Saccharomyces cerevisiae S288C: one gene and its partners. The gene in region 1 interacts genetically with each later gene. Each region holds a gene or a part of one and is shown in the gene's direction. Other genes may lie near its edges.

Region 1 (6,242 bases):
CAATTCCAATGGTGCGGTTCAATCAATTCACTGAGGTAGAATGGTGGACCATGATATTCAGAAATAGGTAAGTCCTGAGGTAATGATTAGGATTTAACTGTTGACTCTATTATAAGGTATACAGAATATACTGGCATAAAACAAGGATCATTAACACGCTAAACAGGGTGTTGTTTAATATCATGAATGCGCAAATAAGCCCTTTTTGCTGCAGCAAACTTTATGTACCAAGATCTTAAAGGGACTCGTTACCAAGATGCGAGTGAGTAGTCTATTATTAGAGAGTAGATCAGCTTCCGCCGCTTCCTTTTTTAACGGGAAAAAAAGTAGAAGCTGGGACAACTTTTTCGCTGCCAATAATAATTAAAAAGAAGGACCCTTTTTTCATTATAGGTATATTTGTTAAATATTTCCATTCCTAAGACAATCAACAACGCAGTTATGCAAACCATCAAAGAGGGCAAATGAACTATTCCCGCTCTTCGTAAGGATGCTGTATTACCGCCGTTAGCCATCAGAATTACTATAAAAACAATGCGGTTAATTTTCATTGCGAAAATGCTTCAATATTCATTTCTACCATTTTCCCCGTTCAATCTTTTGAATTTTGATAATAGTATAAGCGTAAGCTGGTTTATAACATACTCAGTGATCGTTTCCATTTGGGGGTTTGCTGTGTGGATTGAAGGAGCATATAGGAATAAGATTAATCTACAGCTTCCAAGATGTACGAAGATAAAATGCTCCCGCTACAATACGAGAATAAAATCCCCCAAGTGGTTCAACTGTAAAAATTGGATGCATTTTTTCCTATTATACCTTTTTCTAACCGCTTCTAACTTAATTGTTCAATTGGCCTATTTTTCAAAAGAAATGTGTAGTCAGGGTATAAACGTTCCTGGAACGAAGAAACCAGGTAATAGAGTTTATTTATCGGTTATCATACTAATGGGGAACGGGTGATAGAACTTTTACCAATGAAAAGAAATCAGCAGGCCATAATTTGGCTTTATTAAAATTAATAACATTATGGTGCTGTTGCGTTTATTAAAACAGACTAAAGCTGTTGGAATGAAATTCTAATGTTATCTATTTAGTAGTAATAGCATCACATGCGGTGTAAGAGGATGGCGTAAATTATGAGAAGCTGTCATCGAGGTTAGAGGAAGCTGAAATACAAAAATTGATAATGTAATAGGAGAATGAAACATATAAAACGGAATGAGGAATAATCGTAATATTAGTATATAGAAATATAGATTCCATTATGAGGATTCCTAGATCCTCGAGGAGAACTTCTAGTATATTCCGTATACATAATATTATAAGCCTTTATCAACAATGGAACCCCCAACAATTATCTCAAAATTCACCCATATCTTAATTAGTAACATGAATAGTACTAAACAGATGATATTTTAAAGTTTCATTCCAACAAGCATCTTAAATGTGCTATTACTTCCTAAAATAAGTAGTTTTTCCAACGAAATAGCCTTGTTGGCGCAATCGGTAGCGCGTATGACTCTTAATCATAAGGTTAGGGGTTCGAGCCCCCTACAGGGCTATCTTTTTACCATTTTCAATTCAATAGAAAAATTAAATCATTAGAGACGGAAAACTGGTTGAAAACGCATCGATTGAGGACATTGAAAAGATGATTATGACCGATCTATGAAGCCATAAGATTACGTTAAGAATAGTTCTTTGTTACTGATTTCAAAAACTGTTTTTTTAGCCAAGAGTACCACTAATTGAATCAAAGAGACTAGAAGTGTGAAAGTCATGGATGTTGATTCTGACGTTAATGTCTCCAGGTTAAGAGATGAACTGCATAAGGTGGCAAACGAGGAAACAGATACCGCCACTTTCAATGATGATGCGCCATCCGGCGCCACCTGCCGTATTTGTCGTGGAGAAGCTACTGAGGACAATCCTCTTTTCCATCCTTGTAAATGCAGGGGCTCAATTAAATACATGCATGAATCCTGTCTGTTGGAATGGGTAGCTTCAAAAAATATAGACATTTCAAAACCAGGCGCGGATGTTAAATGTGACATCTGTCACTATCCCATTCAATTCAAAACGATATATGCGGAAAACATGCCCGAAAAGATACCTTTTTCTTTACTACTATCCAAGAGCATCTTGACATTTTTCGAAAAAGCTCGTTTGGCTTTAACGATTGGTTTGGCCGCTGTACTATATATTATCGGTGTTCCTTTGGTATGGAACATGTTTGGAAAATTATACACCATGATGCTAGATGGATCATCCCCTTATCCTGGTGATTTCCTAAAGAGTTTGATTTATGGTTATGATCAGTCAGCAACTCCAGAATTAACCACGAGAGCAATTTTTTACCAACTTTTACAAAACCATTCGTTTACGTCTTTACAATTTATTATGATAGTGATACTACATATAGCATTGTACTTTCAATACGATATGATAGTAAGAGAGGATGTTTTCAGTAAAATGGTTTTCCACAAGATAGGTCCAAGATTATCTCCCAAGGACTTGAAATCACGTTTGAAGGAAAGATTCCCCATGATGGATGATAGAATGGTTGAATATTTAGCGAGGGAAATGAGAGCTCATGACGAAAATCGTCAAGAGCAAGGTCATGATAGACTGAACATGCCAGCCGCAGCAGCAGATAATAATAATAATGTTATTAATCCCAGAAACGATAACGTTCCACCTCAGGATCCTAATGACCATCGGAATTTTGAAAACCTTCGCCACGTAGACGAATTAGATCATGATGAGGCTACGGAAGAGCACGAGAACAACGACTCTGACAATAGTTTACCATCAGGTGATGATTCGTCACGAATTTTACCGGGGTCTTCAAGTGACAACGAAGAAGATGAAGAAGCAGAGGGGCAACAGCAACAGCAGCAACCAGAAGAAGAGGCAGATTACCGTGATCATATAGAGCCCAATCCGATTGACATGTGGGCAAATCGTCGTGCGCAAAATGAATTTGATGACCTAATCGCTGCTCAACAGAACGCAATAAACAGGCCCAACGCTCCGGTTTTCATCCCACCACCTGCCCAAAACAGAGCTGGAAATGTCGATCAAGACGAACAAGACTTTGGCGCAGCTGTTGGTGTGCCACCAGCACAGGCTAACCCAGACGATCAAGGACAAGGCCCTCTAGTGATAAATCTCAAATTGAAATTGTTGAATGTCATTGCTTATTTCATAATTGCCGTAGTTTTCACCGCAATATACCTGGCAATTTCCTATTTGTTTCCAACTTTTATTGGGTTCGGTTTGTTGAAAATTTATTTTGGTATATTTAAGGTTATTTTGCGTGGGTTGTGCCATCTTTACTACTTGTCTGGCGCTCATATAGCTTACAATGGGCTGACGAAACTGGTCCCTAAAGTAGATGTCGCGATGAGTTGGATTTCAGACCACTTAATTCATGACATCATTTATCTTTACAACGGCTACACTGAAAACACCATGAAGCACTCAATTTTCATCAGAGCTTTACCTGCTTTAACGACGTATCTAACCTCAGTCAGTATCGTTTGTGCTTCATCCAATCTTGTCTCGAGGGGTTATGGCCGTGAGAACGGAATGAGCAACCCTACTAGAAGGCTGATTTTCCAGATTTTATTTGCACTCAAATGCACTTTCAAGGTGTTCACTTTATTTTTCATCGAATTGGCTGGATTCCCCATTCTAGCTGGTGTAATGCTAGATTTCTCATTATTTTGCCCAATCCTGGCATCCAATAGTCGGATGCTTTGGGTTCCTTCAATATGCGCAATATGGCCTCCATTTTCCCTTTTCGTATACTGGACGATTGGTACTCTCTACATGTATTGGTTTGCCAAATATATCGGAATGATTAGGAAAAATATCATTAGACCAGGTGTTCTATTCTTTATCAGATCTCCAGAAGATCCTAATATTAAGATCTTGCATGATAGTTTAATTCATCCGATGAGTATTCAATTATCAAGGCTTTGCTTATCCATGTTTATTTATGCGATTTTTATTGTCTTAGGTTTTGGCTTCCATACTAGAATTTTTTTCCCATTCATGCTCAAATCGAACTTATTATCCGTTCCTGAAGCTTATAAACCAACATCAATTATTTCATGGAAGTTCAATACAATTTTGCTAACTTTATATTTTACGAAGAGGATCCTGGAGTCTAGCTCTTACGTTAAACCCTTATTGGAAAGGTATTGGAAAACAATTTTTAAGTTATGTTCAAGAAAATTACGTTTATCATCCTTTATCTTAGGTAAAGATACCCCAACAGAGAGAGGCCATATTGTTTACCGCAATTTGTTTTACAAGTACATTGCTGCCAAGAATGCAGAATGGTCAAACCAAGAACTTTTCACTAAACCAAAGACTCTAGAACAAGCAGAAGAATTGTTTGGGCAAGTTCGTGACGTTCATGCTTATTTTGTCCCCGATGGCGTTTTAATGCGTGTTCCTTCTTCTGATATAGTATCCAGAAATTATGTACAAACAATGTTTGTCCCCGTTACAAAGGATGATAAGCTGTTGAAACCATTAGATTTGGAAAGAATTAAAGAGAGAAACAAACGTGCTGCTGGTGAATTTGGTTATTTAGACGAACAAAACACGGAATATGATCAATATTATATCGTTTACGTCCCTCCAGATTTCCGTTTACGCTATATGACATTGCTTGGCCTGGTTTGGTTATTTGCTTCCATTTTAATGCTTGGTGTTACATTTATTAGTCAAGCTTTAATAAACTTTGTTTGTAGTTTCGGCTTTCTTCCAGTCGTAAAGCTATTGTTAGGTGAAAGAAATAAGGTCTATGTTGCATGGAAGGAACTCTCTGACATTAGCTACTCCTATTTGAACATTTATTATGTCTGTGTCGGATCTGTTTGTTTATCCAAGATTGCTAAGGATATTCTTCATTTTACAGAAGGCCAAAACACTCTCGATGAACATGCCGTTGACGAAAACGAAGTAGAGGAAGTGGAACACGATATACCAGAGAGAGATATCAACAATGCCCCTGTTAATAATATCAATAATGTGGAAGAGGGTCAAGGAATTTTCATGGCCATCTTTAACAGTATATTTGATAGTATGTTGGTGAAGTATAACCTGATGGTGTTTATAGCTATCATGATTGCGGTTATTAGAACTATGGTTTCGTGGGTCGTCTTAACCGATGGTATACTAGCCTGTTACAATTATCTCACCATCAGAGTGTTTGGCAATTCTTCATACACTATTGGTAATTCCAAATGGTTTAAATATGACGAGAGTTTGTTATTCGTCGTTTGGATCATTTCGTCAATGGTCAATTTCGGAACCGGATATAAGTCATTGAAACTATTTTTCAGAAACAGAAATACTAGTAAATTGAACTTCTTGAAAACAATGGCTTTGGAACTGTTTAAACAAGGTTTCCTGCACATGGTAATTTACGTCTTGCCGATTATTATTTTATCCTTAGTATTTTTACGTGATGTTTCTACAAAGCAGATTATCGATATTAGCCATGGATCCAGGAGTTTCACTTTATCGCTTAACGAATCATTCCCAACATGGACAAGGATGCAAGATATTTATTTCGGACTACTGATAGCATTAGAGTCATTTACGTTCTTTTTCCAAGCAACTGTGCTGTTCATTCAATGGTTCAAAAGTACTGTACAGAATGTAAAAGACGAGGTTTACACTAAGGGTAGAGCTTTAGAAAATTTACCAGATGAAAGTTAAAGGCGTTTTCTTCCTTACATTTAAAATGAATGCTAGCATATTTACATATATATATCTACATTAAGTTATATGTTTTTCCACTGTTTTATTTCTTATTGTTAGAATTATAGAAAAAAAATTTTTGTAAAACATTTCATTAGAAAAATTTACCATTCTGAATACGAAAGAACAAAATAAAAAATATGCCTATTTATGTGAGTATGTATATTACTAGTTATTTTATTGCTGTTACTATTATTATGCGAGAATGTTAAAAAAATAAAAATAAAGAGGAAAAGAATAAAAAATATAAAACTATGCGTGCGAGTGCTTTCAAGGGTCTTCATCTTCCAAGAGTATAGGATTATCTCTGCCCTCATCCCAAACAGAATCTTGAGACTGGTTATTTTCATCTCCATAATTAGAGAGAAGTTGTGCATTTGATCCCTTGCTTGTCGCGCTGGTTCTTGGAATACCCCTAGTTGGACTACTAAATGCCACATCATCAATATCAACCAACT
Region 2 (4,582 bases), on another chromosome or scaffold:
AGATCATGTATTTTGCGGTTAACCTGTTTTTTTTTTTTCGGTCAAGGGTTCCAAATGCATTTGCATGTAAAGTGAATGCCCTTGTCTTACTTAATATTACATAGACATATACTTAATAATCTACCACGTTTCAAATTCAATAATGCATGCTTCTTGGCGGTTTTTGACATGAGATCCTCATCTGTCACGAGGCTGATGTGCATACTTTTACTTTTAATCGATGACATGATCAGTTTCTTTTGAACAAAAAGCCGTTATGGGTTGAAAAAAAGTGAAAATGAAAAAGTCATCAGAAATATATGAAAGATATAATAAATTGTCGAAGAGAAATTACGTCGAGGAGGTTGAGGAAAATAAGAATGGCAACGACAGATATCATATCTCTAGTAAAAAATAATTTACTCTATTTCCAAATGTGGACGGAAGTGGAAATTTTACAAGACGATTTATCATGGAAGGGAAATAGCCTGAGATTACTGAGAGGTCGTCCGCCTCACAAGCTGAGCAACGATGTAGACACAGAGCATGAAAATAGCTTGTCATCGCCACGCCCGCTAGAGTTCATATTACCCATCAATATGTCACAGTACAAAGAGAATTTTCTCACTTTGGAATGCTTGAGCCAGACATTTACTCACTTATGTAGTCCATCTACTGAAAGAATACTGCTGGCCATAATTAACGATGATGGTACAATTGTTTATTACTTCGTTTATAAAGGAGTACGAAAACCGAAAAGAAATTGAAAAATGAACTTAAAGACACCTTTCTGCATTATTTTGTTTATTTTTATTATATGTATTTACAGGCTAAATTATATAATGACATCACAACGTTTCCTTGCTCTCTAAATTGAGGATCTCTTTGCTCCAAGTTATTACTTGGTCTATGGACGAAGTCATCAATTTTGTTCGACATACTATTCAATAATTCACTTCCAAAGGTTTGTTCCAGTTTTGAACGGATGCGGTTACCATCAGGTAGGCCTAACTGAACGTAAAGATTTGCAAGGAAAAGAAGGTCGGAGGAAAGTATTACAGAATCATCCAGTTTTTTACGGGCAGCCAACCAATTGCTGACGCAACTCTGTAGTCTATTATCAAATTGAAGATTATATTTCACCTGTTGTAGCTCTTGCTTACCCTTAATTTTGTTCTTATGCGCAATTTTGAAGGTCTTTGATTGTGCTAGTTGCGAGGCTGACTCCATTGCTTTACTTTCTACAAATTCTTCATCATCCTCAAGGGTCAGTGAGCCTATAATCTCCTCACAATTTTCACGTGCTTGCGATCTTAGTTGCAATGGCGTATTATACCACATAGGAAAATATAGCAATTTTGAAAACAACTTCTTGGTATATTCATTGTAATTTTTGGTGTTCAAAAAGAGCTGGTAGTCCGTTAGTCTGGAAATTTCAACGTCAACATAATTCAATAGGGAATACTCTAAAAGGCGATCCTTTTTTCTAACAATTGCTAAATCTTCTTCATAATCCGTACCTTTCTCATATTTGCTAGTACATATATTTTTATGTAAGAATTGTACGATGTTCACGTAACCAGATACTTTCGTTCCATTATCTAAAATTAACACTGGTAGTTTTCCATCTGATGATAGGTCTGTATTGTTTGAGAATACGATCTGCAATCCCGCAACCATACTCTTTGCCTCTTCTGAAGTACATAACTTGATAAACCATACAAGCGCAATGCTGTCCACTGAAATCAACGATGCTTTGCCATCCTTTCCCCATAAATGCACACTACCTTTAACCATTACTGACTCGATAATAGCCTTGCTTTGCGTTTATTTGAAAAATACAAATTCCAGCATTAAATAGTAGCCATTCTAAATAGCTTATTTCTTATTACATTTCCCACTTCGTTTAAAATGATAACAATCGTGACAAAATTGTCGGTTACCTTGTAATAATTAAGAAGAAAAGTGTAGCTTGTGTGATGAAAGAGTATTCTACAACGAAATAAAAGGCCAAACTGGAGAGTCAAACAAGAGATATGTCCAGCTCTACGACTCCTGATTTACTATATCCCTCTGCGGACAAAGTCGCAGAGCCTAGTGACAATATACATGGAGATGAACTACGACTTAGAGAAAGGATTAAAGACAATCCCACGAATATTTTATCATACTTCCAGCTTATTCAATATTTGGAAACTCAAGAGTCATACGCTAAGGTGAGAGAAGTATACGAGCAATTTCATAACACATTCCCGTTTTATTCACCTGCGTGGACTTTGCAACTAAAGGGTGAATTGGCAAGAGATGAATTTGAGACTGTTGAGAAGATTTTGGCTCAATGTCTTTCTGGCAAGTTGGAAAATAATGACCTATCTCTTTGGTCAACATATTTGGACTACATACGCAGAAAAAACAACTTAATTACTGGTGGACAAGAGGCGAGAGCTGTTATTGTCAAGGCATTCCAACTAGTTATGCAAAAGTGTGCAATTTTTGAACCCAAATCATCTTCTTTTTGGAACGAATATCTCAATTTTTTAGAGCAGTGGAAGCCATTCAACAAATGGGAGGAGCAACAGCGAATTGACATGCTCAGAGAATTCTACAAGAAAATGCTATGTGTTCCTTTTGATAATCTAGAAAAAATGTGGAATAGATACACTCAATGGGAACAAGAAATAAATTCCCTAACAGCCAGAAAATTTATTGGCGAGTTATCAGCCGAATACATGAAAGCCCGTTCCTTATACCAGGAATGGTTGAACGTTACTAATGGATTGAAAAGGGCATCTCCAATTAATCTGCGCACAGCAAACAAGAAAAACATACCACAACCAGGTACCTCAGACTCAAACATTCAGCAGTTACAGATTTGGTTGAATTGGATAAAATGGGAAAGGGAGAATAAGTTGATGCTTAGTGAAGATATGCTATCACAAAGAATCAGTTACGTTTATAAACAAGGTATTCAATACATGATATTTTCTGCTGAAATGTGGTACGATTATTCAATGTATATATCTGAAAATTCGGATCGACAAAATATCTTATATACTGCGTTATTAGCTAATCCCGACTCACCTTCTCTTACATTCAAGTTATCCGAATGCTACGAACTGGATAATGATTCTGAAAGTGTTTCTAACTGTTTTGACAAGTGCACTCAAACTTTACTATCGCAGTATAAAAAGATCGCCTCCGATGTAAATTCGGGTGAAGATAATAACACAGAGTATGAACAAGAGCTGCTATACAAACAGAGGGAAAAATTAACATTCGTGTTTTGCGTGTATATGAATACGATGAAAAGAATATCAGGACTATCCGCAGCACGTACTGTATTTGGTAAATGTCGTAAACTGAAGCGTATATTAACACATGACGTCTACGTGGAAAATGCATATTTAGAATTTCAAAATCAAAACGATTATAAGACTGCTTTTAAGGTTTTAGAATTGGGTTTAAAATACTTCCAAAACGATGGAGTTTATATCAACAAATACTTAGATTTTTTAATATTTTTAAATAAGGATTCGCAGATCAAAACCTTATTTGAAACATCAGTGGAAAAAGTGCAAGATTTAACCCAGCTGAAGGAAATATACAAGAAAATGATAAGTTATGAATCGAAATTCGGTAACTTAAACAACGTTTATTCTCTAGAGAAAAGATTTTTCGAACGGTTCCCCCAAGAAAATTTGATTGAAGTTTTCACAAGTCGTTATCAAATTCAAAACTCCAACTTAATAAAGAAATTAGAGTTAACTTATATGTATAATGAGGAAGAAGACAGTTACTTTTCTTCTGGAAACGGGGATGGCCATCATGGCTCTTACAATATGAGTTCGTCAGATAGAAAGAGACTAATGGAGGAAACTGGAAACAATGGAAACTTCTCCAATAAGAAATTCAAAAGAGACTCAGAGCTTCCAACAGAGGTTCTTGATTTATTGAGCGTTATACCAAAACGTCAATATTTTAATACAAATTTACTCGATGCGCAGAAATTGGTGAATTTTTTAAATGATCAAGTAGAGATTCCAACAGTTGAGAGCACCAAGTCAGGTTAACATTACGTTAATAAATAGGTATATATGAATATTTATACCAACACATCTATTATAATAGGCGAACCTCTGTATGTAATTAAGTAAAAAAAAAACGATGTGACAGGATAGTTAAGGTGCCTCGTACATAAATAAAAACGGAAATAGTTAATTCTTTCAAAAATATGGCAATAGCCAAACTCATTCAGAAGGTACAGGAAACACTCTGTTTCTGTGCGTTTATATAACCATGCTTATAAAAGAAAGATTGAACAAAATATACATGAATTTATGAACGGTAATCACCGTTAATTGTTACATATTCATGTGATAAATCACAAGTCCAAAATTGTGCTGCCTGATCACCGGTTCCCAAGTCGACAGACACTTCCAAATCATTCAAAGCCAATATTTCAGAAGCCCTTGTTTCATCGATCTCCAATTGTGGCACACCATTAGCGACAAGCTTCAGCTCACGAGGTTCTGAATTGTCGGTAGCAATAAAGCTAACATTAATTTTGTTGACATCTAGAGATTTTAAGTCATTCAGCTTTGCA
Region 3 (4,309 bases), on another chromosome or scaffold:
TTAGATATTGGCACCCCTCCTCAAAAAGTTACTGTGCTTGTCGACACTGGTTCTTCTGATCTATGGGTCACGGGTTCAGACAACCCATACTGTTCCACTAAAAAGAAGGATACCACTGGCTCATCCTTTAAACAAGTAAACAAGGATGCTTTGGCTAGCGTGGTTGAGAGTGTGTTTACTGAAATTAGCTACGACACCACTATAGTTACCAGCGAAGCCACTGCTACTTTTGATAGTACAGCTTCTACATCACAGTTAATTGACTGCGCTACATACGGGACATTTAATACCTCTAAGTCGTCTACATTCAACTCCAATAATACAGAATTTTCGATCGCCTATGGTGATACGACTTTTGCATCTGGTACCTGGGGCCATGATCAATTGAGCTTGAACGATTTGAACATTACGGGTTTATCATTTGCTGTAGCAAACGAAACAAACTCAACAGTTGGTGTCTTGGGTATTGGTTTGCCTGGCTTGGAGTCAACTTATTCTGGTGTTTCTCTCAGCTCTGTACAAAAAAGCTACACTTACAATAACTTTCCGATGGTGCTAAAGAATTCGGGTGTAATAAAATCAACAGCTTATTCTTTATTCGCAAATGATTCTGATTCGAAACATGGTACCATTTTGTTTGGCGCTGTGGATCATGGAAAATATGCGGGCGACCTATACACAATTCCCATCATTAATACTTTGCAGCATCGCGGCTACAAGGATCCAATTCAATTCCAAGTCACTTTACAAGGATTAGGTACGTCGAAAGGGGATAAAGAAGACAATCTGACAACCCTAACCACTACAAAGATCCCAGTCCTGCTAGATTCAGGTACGACCATATCGTATATGCCAACTGAGCTGGTAAAAATGCTTGCCGACCAGGTCGGAGCTACTTACTCTTCTGCATATGGTTACTACATAATGGATTGTATCAAAGAGATGGAAGAAGAGAGTAGCATCATCTTTGATTTTGGTGGATTCTATCTTTCTAATTGGTTAAGCGATTTTCAGCTAGTCACAGATAGTCGTTCAAACATTTGTATACTAGGTATTGCACCGCAGTCAGATCCGACCATTATTTTGGGTGATAACTTCTTAGCTAATACTTACGTGGTATATGATCTGGACAATATGGAGATATCAATGGCTCAGGCTAACTTCAGCGACGACGGTGAATACATTGAGATTATAGAGAGCGCGGTTCCAAGTGCTCTTAAAGCACCTGGTTACTCAAGCACTTGGTCTACATATGAAAGTATTGTCTCCGGCGGCAACATGTTTTCCACGGCAGCTAACTCCAGTATATCGTACTTTGCTTCCACGTCTCATTCGGCAACAAGTTCTTCCAGCTCCAAAGGCCAAAAAACCCAAACAAGTACGACAGCTCTCTCTATTTCAAAATCTACCTCAAGTACTTCCTCAACAGGAATGTTATCTCCCACCTCAAGTTCATCTACGAGAAAAGAAAACGGAGGACACAATCTGAATCCTCCATTTTTCGCCAGGTTCATTACAGCTATTTTTCATCACATTTGATAAATCCCTCCCTCCATATAAGCATTTACTAGACTTTAAAAGTTGCAATGTATATCTGGAGGTATAACATTGTACATTACTTGAAAGAAAAGCGTCTTTTAACGTAAAATAAATAATACTGTTCTTTTTTATTGTTACTGGCTTCTTAATCAACAATTATATACTTCGACGCAAAAAGCCGGGTAAAACATTCTATCTGCCATTGTCAAAAAATATGAAAGAATTTTTTACATATAACTACATTGCATTAGTATCACCAAATCAATAATGAAATAATAGCTAAAAACTATATATTGAAGGAAATATAGTTTATCATATATATCCTCTAGTGAAGCTACTATAGATAGAAATTATTTAGCATTTCAGGATAGTTCGTTTCTCCCTTTTTTCCCCTTTGTTTTCTCTCATAGTCTTGTAACCTCAGCTTTTGTTCATTATGAGTGAAAGTGGTCAAGAACAAAACAGAGGCACAAATACATCACCAAATAATGCTGAAAATAATAATAATTCAAATGCAGCTTCCGGTCCACTCAATGGTGGTGCTGAGCAAACAAGAAACATAACCGTTTCCATTCAGTATTCCTATTTCACTCCGGAGAGATTAGCACATTTGAGCAATATATCTAATAATGATAATAACGAAAACAACAGCGCAGCATCCGGTAGCACGATTGCCAACGGTACTGGGCCCAGCTTTGGCATCGGAAATGGGGGCCATCAACCCGACGGTGCTCTTGTTTTATCTTTTCGTGATGTTCCTGCGTCTACTCCACAAGACCGTTTGAACAGCTTCATATCTGTTGCTGCTCAGCTTGCAATGGAGAGATTCAACAGACTATTAAATAGACCAAAAGGAATATCAAAGGATGAGTTTGATAAGCTCCCCGTTCTGCAAGTTTCTGATCTACCCAAGGCCGAAGGGCCCTTATGTAGTATATGTTATGACGAATATGAAGATGAAGTTGATTCAACTAAAGCAAAAAGAAAAAGGGATTCTGAAAATGAGGAGGAATCTGAAGGAACAAAAAAAAGGAAGGATAATGAAGGTGCGCCCCTACGCACAACCGCCGATAATGACAGTAACCCATCGATTACAAATGCTACGGTTGTTGAACCGCCTTCTATTCCTCTCACTGAACAACAACGCACTCTCAATGATGAAGAAACAAATCCAAGCTACAAACACTCACCAATCAAGTTACCTTGTGGCCACATTTTTGGGAGGGAATGTATCTACAAATGGTCAAGATTAGAAAATTCTTGTCCCCTTTGTAGACAAAAGATCAGCGAATCTGTAGGTGTTCAACGTGCAGCCCAACAAGATACGGATGAAGTAGCAGCTAACGAAGCTGCTTTTGAACGTATTAGACGAGTTTTATACGACCCAACTGCAGTGAATAGCACTAACGAAAATAGTTCCGCCCCATCCGAAAACACGTCCAATACAACGGTTCCCACTATCGGAAATGCAAGTTCTGGCGAACAGATGTTATCAAGAACAGGCTTTTTTTTAGTGCCTCAAAACGGCCAACCTTTACACAATCCAGTCCGTTTACCGCCTAATGATAGCGATAGAAACGGTGTCAACGGGCCGAGCTCAACTACTCAAAATCCACCCTCTAATTCTGGTGGTTCGAATAACAATCAAAGTCCGCGCTGGGTTCCCATCCCTTTGACTTTGTTCCAATTCCACAGTCCAAATCCGAATCCTTCCGCTTCTGATTCTTCGGCAAGCCCATCAGCAGCGAACGGTCCAAACTCAAATAACACTAGTAGTGACGCTACAGACCCTCACCACAACAGACTAAGAGCCGTTTTGGATCACATATTCAACGTTGCTCAGAGGGGAACTTCTGATACCTCTGCAACAACAGCACCCGGAGCACAAACTGTTCACAACCAAGGACGTAATGACTCATCGTCCTCTGATACAACGCAAGGAAGTTCCTTTTTGGAAAATATTTCACGATTAACAGGCCATTTTACGAATGGCTCAAGAGACAACAATAACGACAATAACCATAGCAATGATCAACAACGAGGTGGAAGTACTGGTGAGAACAACAGAAATAACTTGTTTTCCTCCGGTGTTGCCAGTTATAGAAATCAAAATGGTGATGTTACTACCGTCGAACTACGCAACAACAATTCTGCTGCCTTTCCTCCTACAGACGAAAATCCCTCTCAAGGCCAAGGTTCAAGCAGTTCGGACACCACCATTCATAACGACGTCCCTAATGATAACAATGAGCAACGATCATCACAATAAACAATACCGCTTCTGAAGTATGTTAATATGAAAATATGTCCTATTGGCAGTCATCCATTTTCAGACATTATTTTCTACTCCTTTTACCTTTTTTTTATCTGCATCTTTATATATATATATCATATACTTATTTTTCTTTACTTCTACTTAAAGTTCTATAATCATTGTTAATCAGAAATTTGCATGTCTCCAGCAAGTAAATATGAAGGCCGAGAAATTAAACCACCGACATAACCTCCTCTGAAAAGTCGTTTCGCAAAACAGTAAAAGGTGAAAACACTTTTAAGAACTGTGGAACACAAACTGTGTTTTCTTACCATAAAATCTTTTACCGGAGGTCGAAATCGTTTTCTTTCTGATTTGGAATTCGACGCTCGAAAAGTGCAGAGATCTCATATTGTTAACGGACTATCATCTAACTTTTTGCATAATTTATACAACATGCTCAGATATCATATGCAAGGTTTTAGTGGGTACGGTGTCCAGTATTCTCCCTTTTTC
Region 4 (5,248 bases), on another chromosome or scaffold:
ATTTGTTTTGTGTATTATTTTTGTGATTAGTTATTAGATGGAATTAAAGGAAAAATATCAATGGACAAAAAATATTAGGGTGTAGAAATAAAGAATAATAGCAGGGCTTTGATAAAAGAATGTATCAATTACTTTTTGAAATTAAAGTTAAAATTAAAATTCAAACCGAAAAAAAAAAAAAATTAAATATTAAACTTGATATAGTAGGAGAAGGAAGTTGTATATTGTTCTCTATAAACACAAACAATAAAATGATATATTTGTTTTCTTATTTCTTCTTGATGTCTTCAGGAAAAAAGAACATAAACAAATACAAAAAAATCCTAGTACGAAACCTCAAAAGGGTGTATGCGCAATGTATATATATAGCAAGAAAAAAAAATAAACAGTGGCATTACAGTGCATGCGGATGGCAGTGTTCTTCGGTGGCTTTTTCGAAAAACCTAGAATGCGTTTAAAAGACTCAGACACCTAAGCAGAATATGCGAATGACTCGTTCAGTAAAATGCGACGCGACAGTTTGTTTTCGTTCTGCGCTGCTGTGTTCTCTATTCTTTTGAGATGAATTTAACGGCTATGGAATCATCTCGAGAAATCGGTTCTAGTAAGGCACCAAGACATTATGTCCCTCGGGAGGAGAAGGGCGCACGCGTCAGGCTTCCACGACGTCCGCCGTGCATGCGCTCTCGCATTTTTAAGGTTTAGTGCGGCAGGCGACTGCGCTGCGGCCAGCCCGTGAGACCACCCGAGGGAATTTGAGTAAGCGCGCCCATTGCGGGGTTTTTGCGGTTTGCGCTGTTTTCCGCACGAGGTTTCTCCGGACACAGTTAAGCAGTATATTTCACTCGGAAGCGCCGGAAAATTTTTTTAAGCGCAAATATATTCAGGTAAGCAGCAAAAAAATACTTTTTCCGGTGGCCCGTGATGTGTTTGTAACAGCTTCTGCGGTACTTTGGGCGGCTAAATGGCAAATAGATCAGGGGAAGGGTTTTTGCATAGGTACAAAATAACCGGATTTTGGGTAAGATTCGATCTTCGGCACTTGTGGCGAAGTAAAAGTGTTGAAAAAGTTCGCGTAATAATAGTGTTAGCCGTTTCAGCTTCGTCCATAAAGTACATATCCACAACTCTCATGGTGCGAAGTACAAACATTGAACGGCAGCTGTCTTGCTCAGCTAGTGGTATGTAAGCAGCCGCATTCTATTTTTATTTTCGTGCCTTTAAGTGTTAAAACCTGAGGCAGATTTTTTATTTTTTTGCATTCCCCTTCCTTTTTGCCGTAATGGCGCATTCAGTGCTGATATATTTATACTTCAATGGTGCTTCTCCTTACTTTTCTTATAGAAATAAACATCAAAACATGAACCTCAAATTCATCCGAAAATGACTGCGGCCACTCACCTTGCTTCTTCCCCACAAATATTTGTGTTCTCTGCTTTCTTTGTGTGTACTTTGTCTTGCTCTATATAACTTTCTCTCTGCTGCTGAGTCTTCAAATAGGTAGATTGATGCCTGTGGACTTTTATACAAAGGAGTTTGAGTGATTACATTCAAGATAAACGTGAAAAGTTATTATTATATCTTATGCTAAACAACAGTGTAATTGCGTTTGTTAAGCACAATCTCAAAATAATGCGCTAACAGTGGTGCGCATACTGCCATTTGTTATGGGCTATAATCGGATAGTGTATTCTTCTTGTTTGGTTATGTATCTCAACATCCAGGTATCCGTTACCCCACTTTGATACCAGGAACCTTTCGCGTTTTCTCTCGCTTTTATTTTTTTACCGCATACAAACAAACAAGAAAAAGTAGAAAACATATGAGATCATCGATTTTGTTTCTACTAAAATTGATGAAAATTATGGATGTTCAGCAACAGCAAGAAGCTATGTCATCAGAAGATAGGTTTCAGGAACTGGTGGACTCCCTAAAGCCAAGAACTGCGCATCAGTACAAGACCTACTATACTAAGTACATACAATGGTGTCAGCTCAATCAAATTATACCGACACCGGAGGACAATTCTGTAAATAGCGTCCCCTATAAAGACCTGCCAATATCTGCTGAACTGATACATTGGTTTTTGTTAGATACATTAATAACCGATGATAAGCCTGGAGAGAAAAGAGAAGAGACTGAAGATCTTGATGAGGAGGAGGAGAATTCATTCAAGATCGCTACGTTGAAGAAAATTATAGGCAGTCTCAATTTTTTGTCAAAATTGTGCAAAGTTCATGAAAATCCAAATGCTAATATAGACACAAAATACCTGGAGTCAGTCACCAAGCTTCATACCCATTGGATAGATTCACAAAAGGCAATCACCACTAATGAAACAAATAACACAAATACTCAAGTGCTGTGTCCACCATTATTGAAAGTGTCTTTGAATTTATGGAACCCAGAAACTAACCATCTCTCTGAGAAATTTTTTAAAACCTGTTCTGAAAAATTAAGATTCCTGGTGGATTTTCAATTAAGAAGTTATTTGAACCTTTCATTTGAAGAAAGATCAAAGATACGATTTGGTTCCCTCAAGCTCGGTAAAAGGGACAGAGACGCTATAATTTATCATAAAGTAACTCATTCGGCGGAAAAAAAAGATACGCCGGGCCACCATCAACTCCTTGCATTATTACCCCAAGATTGTCCATTTATCTGCCCTCAAACTACATTAGCTGCATATTTGTATTTAAGGTTCTATGGTATACCATCTGTTTCGAAAGGGGATGGCTTTCCCAATTTGAACGCTGATGAAAATGGCTCACTTTTACAAGATATTCCCATACTAAGAGGCAAATCACTGACAACTTATCCCAGAGAGGAAACATTTAGTAATTATTATACAACCGTGTTTAGGTATTGCCACTTACCTTATAAAAGAAGAGAATATTTCAACAAATGTAACCTTGTTTACCCAACTTGGGATGAAGACACTTTTAGAACATTTTTCAATGAAGAAAACCATGGAAATTGGTTAGAACAACCTGAGGCCTTTGCGTTCCCTGACAAAATACCGTTCGACTTCAAGAAAATCATGAACTTCAAATCGCCCTACACTTCGTATTCTACAAACGCTAAAAAGGACCCTTTTCCGCCTCCAAAGGATTTATTAGTTCAAATATTTCCGGAGATTGATGAATATAAAAGACATGATTATGAAGGTTTGTCTCAGAATTCAAGGGATTTTCTAGATTTAATGGAAGTTTTACGAGAAAGATTTTTGAGCAATCTACCATGGATTTACAAATTCTTTCCTAATCATGATATATTCCAGGACCCCATTTTTGGAAATTCCGATTTTCAATCATACTTCAATGACAAAACTATACATTCAAAGGGTTCACCCATTTTATCATTCGATATACTACCAGGCTTTAATAAAATCTATAAGAATAAGACAAATTTTTACTCACTCTTAATAGAAAGGCCTTCGCAGTTGACATTTGCTTCGAGTCATAATCCAGATACACACCCCACTCAAAAACAAGAATCTGAGGGGCCATTACAAATGAGTCAACTTGATACTACACAATTAAATGAATTATTGAAGCAACAGAGTTTCGAATATGTGCAGTTCCAAACACTTTCTAATTTCCAAATTTTATTATCGGTATTCAATAAAATTTTTGAGAAATTGGAGATGAAAAAATCTTCAAGAGGCTATATTTTACATCAGCTTAATTTATTCAAAATTACCTTGGATGAAAGAATTAAGAAATCTAAGATTGACGATGCCGATAAATTTATACGTGATAATCAGCCCATTAAAAAAGAAGAAAACATTGTGAATGAAGATGGGCCTAACACATCAAGGCGGACAAAGAGGCCGAAGCAAATTAGATTACTCTCAATTGCGGATTCCTCCGACGAATCCTCCACGGAGGATTCAAATGTATTCAAAAAGGACGGTGAATCCATCGAAGATGGCGCATATGGAGAAAATGAAGATGAGAATGACTCTGAGATGCAAGAGCAGTTAAAATCTATGATAAACGAACTTATAAACTCCAAAATAAGCACTTTTTTACGGGACCAAATGGATCAATTTGAATTGAAAATAAACGCTTTATTAGATAAAATTCTTGAAGAAAAAGTCACTCGTATTATCGAGCAAAAACTTGGTTCACACACGGGGAAGTTTTCAACGTTGAAGAGGCCACAACTATACATGACGGAAGAACACAATGTTGGATTTGATATGGAAGTTCCTAAAAAACTTAGGACCAGTGGTAAGTACGCAGAGACTGTGAAAGATAATGATGATCATCAAGCCATGTCAACTACTGCATCGCCGTCTCCTGAGCAAGATCAAGAAGCAAAGAGCTATACTGACGAACAAGAATTTATGCTGGACAAATCCATAGACAGCATAGAGGGAATCATTCTTGAATGGTTCACCCCAAACGCTAAGTACGCCAACCAATGCGTGCATTCAATGAACAAATCAGGTAACAAGTCGTGGAGAGCTAATTGTGAAGCTTTATACAAGGAAAGAAAATCAATTGTTGAATTCTATATTTATTTGGTAAATCATGAGAGTCTCGACAGATACAAAGCAGTTGATATTTGCGAAAAATTACGAGATCAGAACGAAGGTTCATTTTCGCGCTTGGCAAAGTTCCTAAGGAAGTGGAGGCATGACCATCAAAATTCATTTGATGGTCTGTTAGTATATCTATCTAACTGAGGGAGCTTCGAAGTTTAAACTGTTTCGTATAGGGATACCGACATGTATGTTTATAATATAATGATGTTTACTATGAGAAAAAGGCTGCCGGAATATCAACGGTTGCTGTGGTGAGAAAATCGGGTAACACCTATAGGGGTTCCATCACTTCAGATGCCTTGAACTTTGAAATCTATACGAATATAGGAAGACTGAGTTGGTAGACCTGGTAAGATAGAAGAGGAAGAAGGCTTCTTTATTACCGCAACTAAGAATAAACTTATAGCTTCATGCGAATCTCAAAAAATAGTCATAAGCGGCAAAGAACGAGGCTATATTTCCTCGTTACATTTATTATTTATTCGATAATACCCTGCCGTGCGGTACTCGTGCCTTGGCTGGATGATGACCCATTTGAAGCAACGCTTCTAGAAATGGGGGATGAACCATGGAGTAAGGACATCCTTTCAAGCACACCTCCGTTACATCCATCTGAAGTTACCGAGGATAACAAAAGCTTAAAACAAAGGGGCAATGTACCGCAATATGTCATCGATAATAGCCCTCTGCTCCATT

The links.
Region 2: of SSM4 (region 1) and RNA14, a mutation in one rescues a mutant of the other (synthetic rescue), as found in Saccharomyces cerevisiae (2 studies listed by BioGRID).
Region 3: of SSM4 (region 1) and SAN1, changing one enhances a phenotype caused by changing the other (phenotypic enhancement), as found in Saccharomyces cerevisiae (2 studies listed by BioGRID).
Region 4: of SSM4 (region 1) and CBF2, a mutation in one rescues a mutant of the other (synthetic rescue), as found in Saccharomyces cerevisiae (2 studies listed by BioGRID).

The regions. Positions count from the first base shown.
Region 1 is NC_001141.2:295,550-301,791, reverse strand, and holds SSM4 (E3 ubiquitin-protein ligase SSM4), read left to right. Parts: upstream 1-1,782; coding exon 1,783-5,742; downstream 5,743-6,242. Other genes in the region: EMA17 (Ema17p), read left to right, coding at 535-963; SUMO protease ULP2, read right to left, coding at 6,055-6,242. UniProt on the Saccharomyces cerevisiae protein: E3 ubiquitin-protein ligase which accepts ubiquitin specifically from endoplasmic reticulum-associated UBC6 and UBC7 E2 ligases, and transfers it to substrates promoting their degradation.
Region 2 is NC_001145.3:390,740-395,321, forward strand, and holds RNA14 (cleavage polyadenylation factor subunit RNA14), read left to right. Parts: upstream 1-2,015; coding exon 2,016-4,049; downstream 4,050-4,582. Other genes in the region: SEN15 (Sen15p), read left to right, coding at 360-746; SAM complex subunit SAM37, read right to left, coding at 793-1,776; ARG7 (glutamate N-acetyltransferase), read right to left, coding at 4,315-4,582. UniProt on the Saccharomyces cerevisiae protein: Component of the cleavage factor IA (CFIA) complex, which is involved in the endonucleolytic cleavage during polyadenylation-dependent pre-mRNA 3'-end formation and cooperates with the cleavage factor NAB4/CFIB and the cleavage and polyadenylation factor (CPF) complex.
Region 3 is NC_001136.10:741,541-745,849, reverse strand, and holds SAN1 (ubiquitin-protein ligase SAN1), read left to right. Parts: upstream 1-1,975; coding exon 1,976-3,808; downstream 3,809-4,309. Other genes in the region: MKC7 (aspartyl protease), read left to right, coding at 1-1,539; PEX7 (Pex7p), read left to right, coding at 4,250-4,309. UniProt on the Saccharomyces cerevisiae protein: Plays a specific role in mating-type regulation of yeast, by acting post-translationally to control the stability or activity of the SIR4 proteins.
Region 4 is NC_001139.9:765,607-770,854, forward strand, and holds CBF2 (Cbf2p), read left to right. Parts: upstream 1-1,822; coding exon 1,823-4,693; downstream 4,694-5,248. Other genes in the region: VPS62 (Vps62p), read left to right, coding at 4,963-5,248.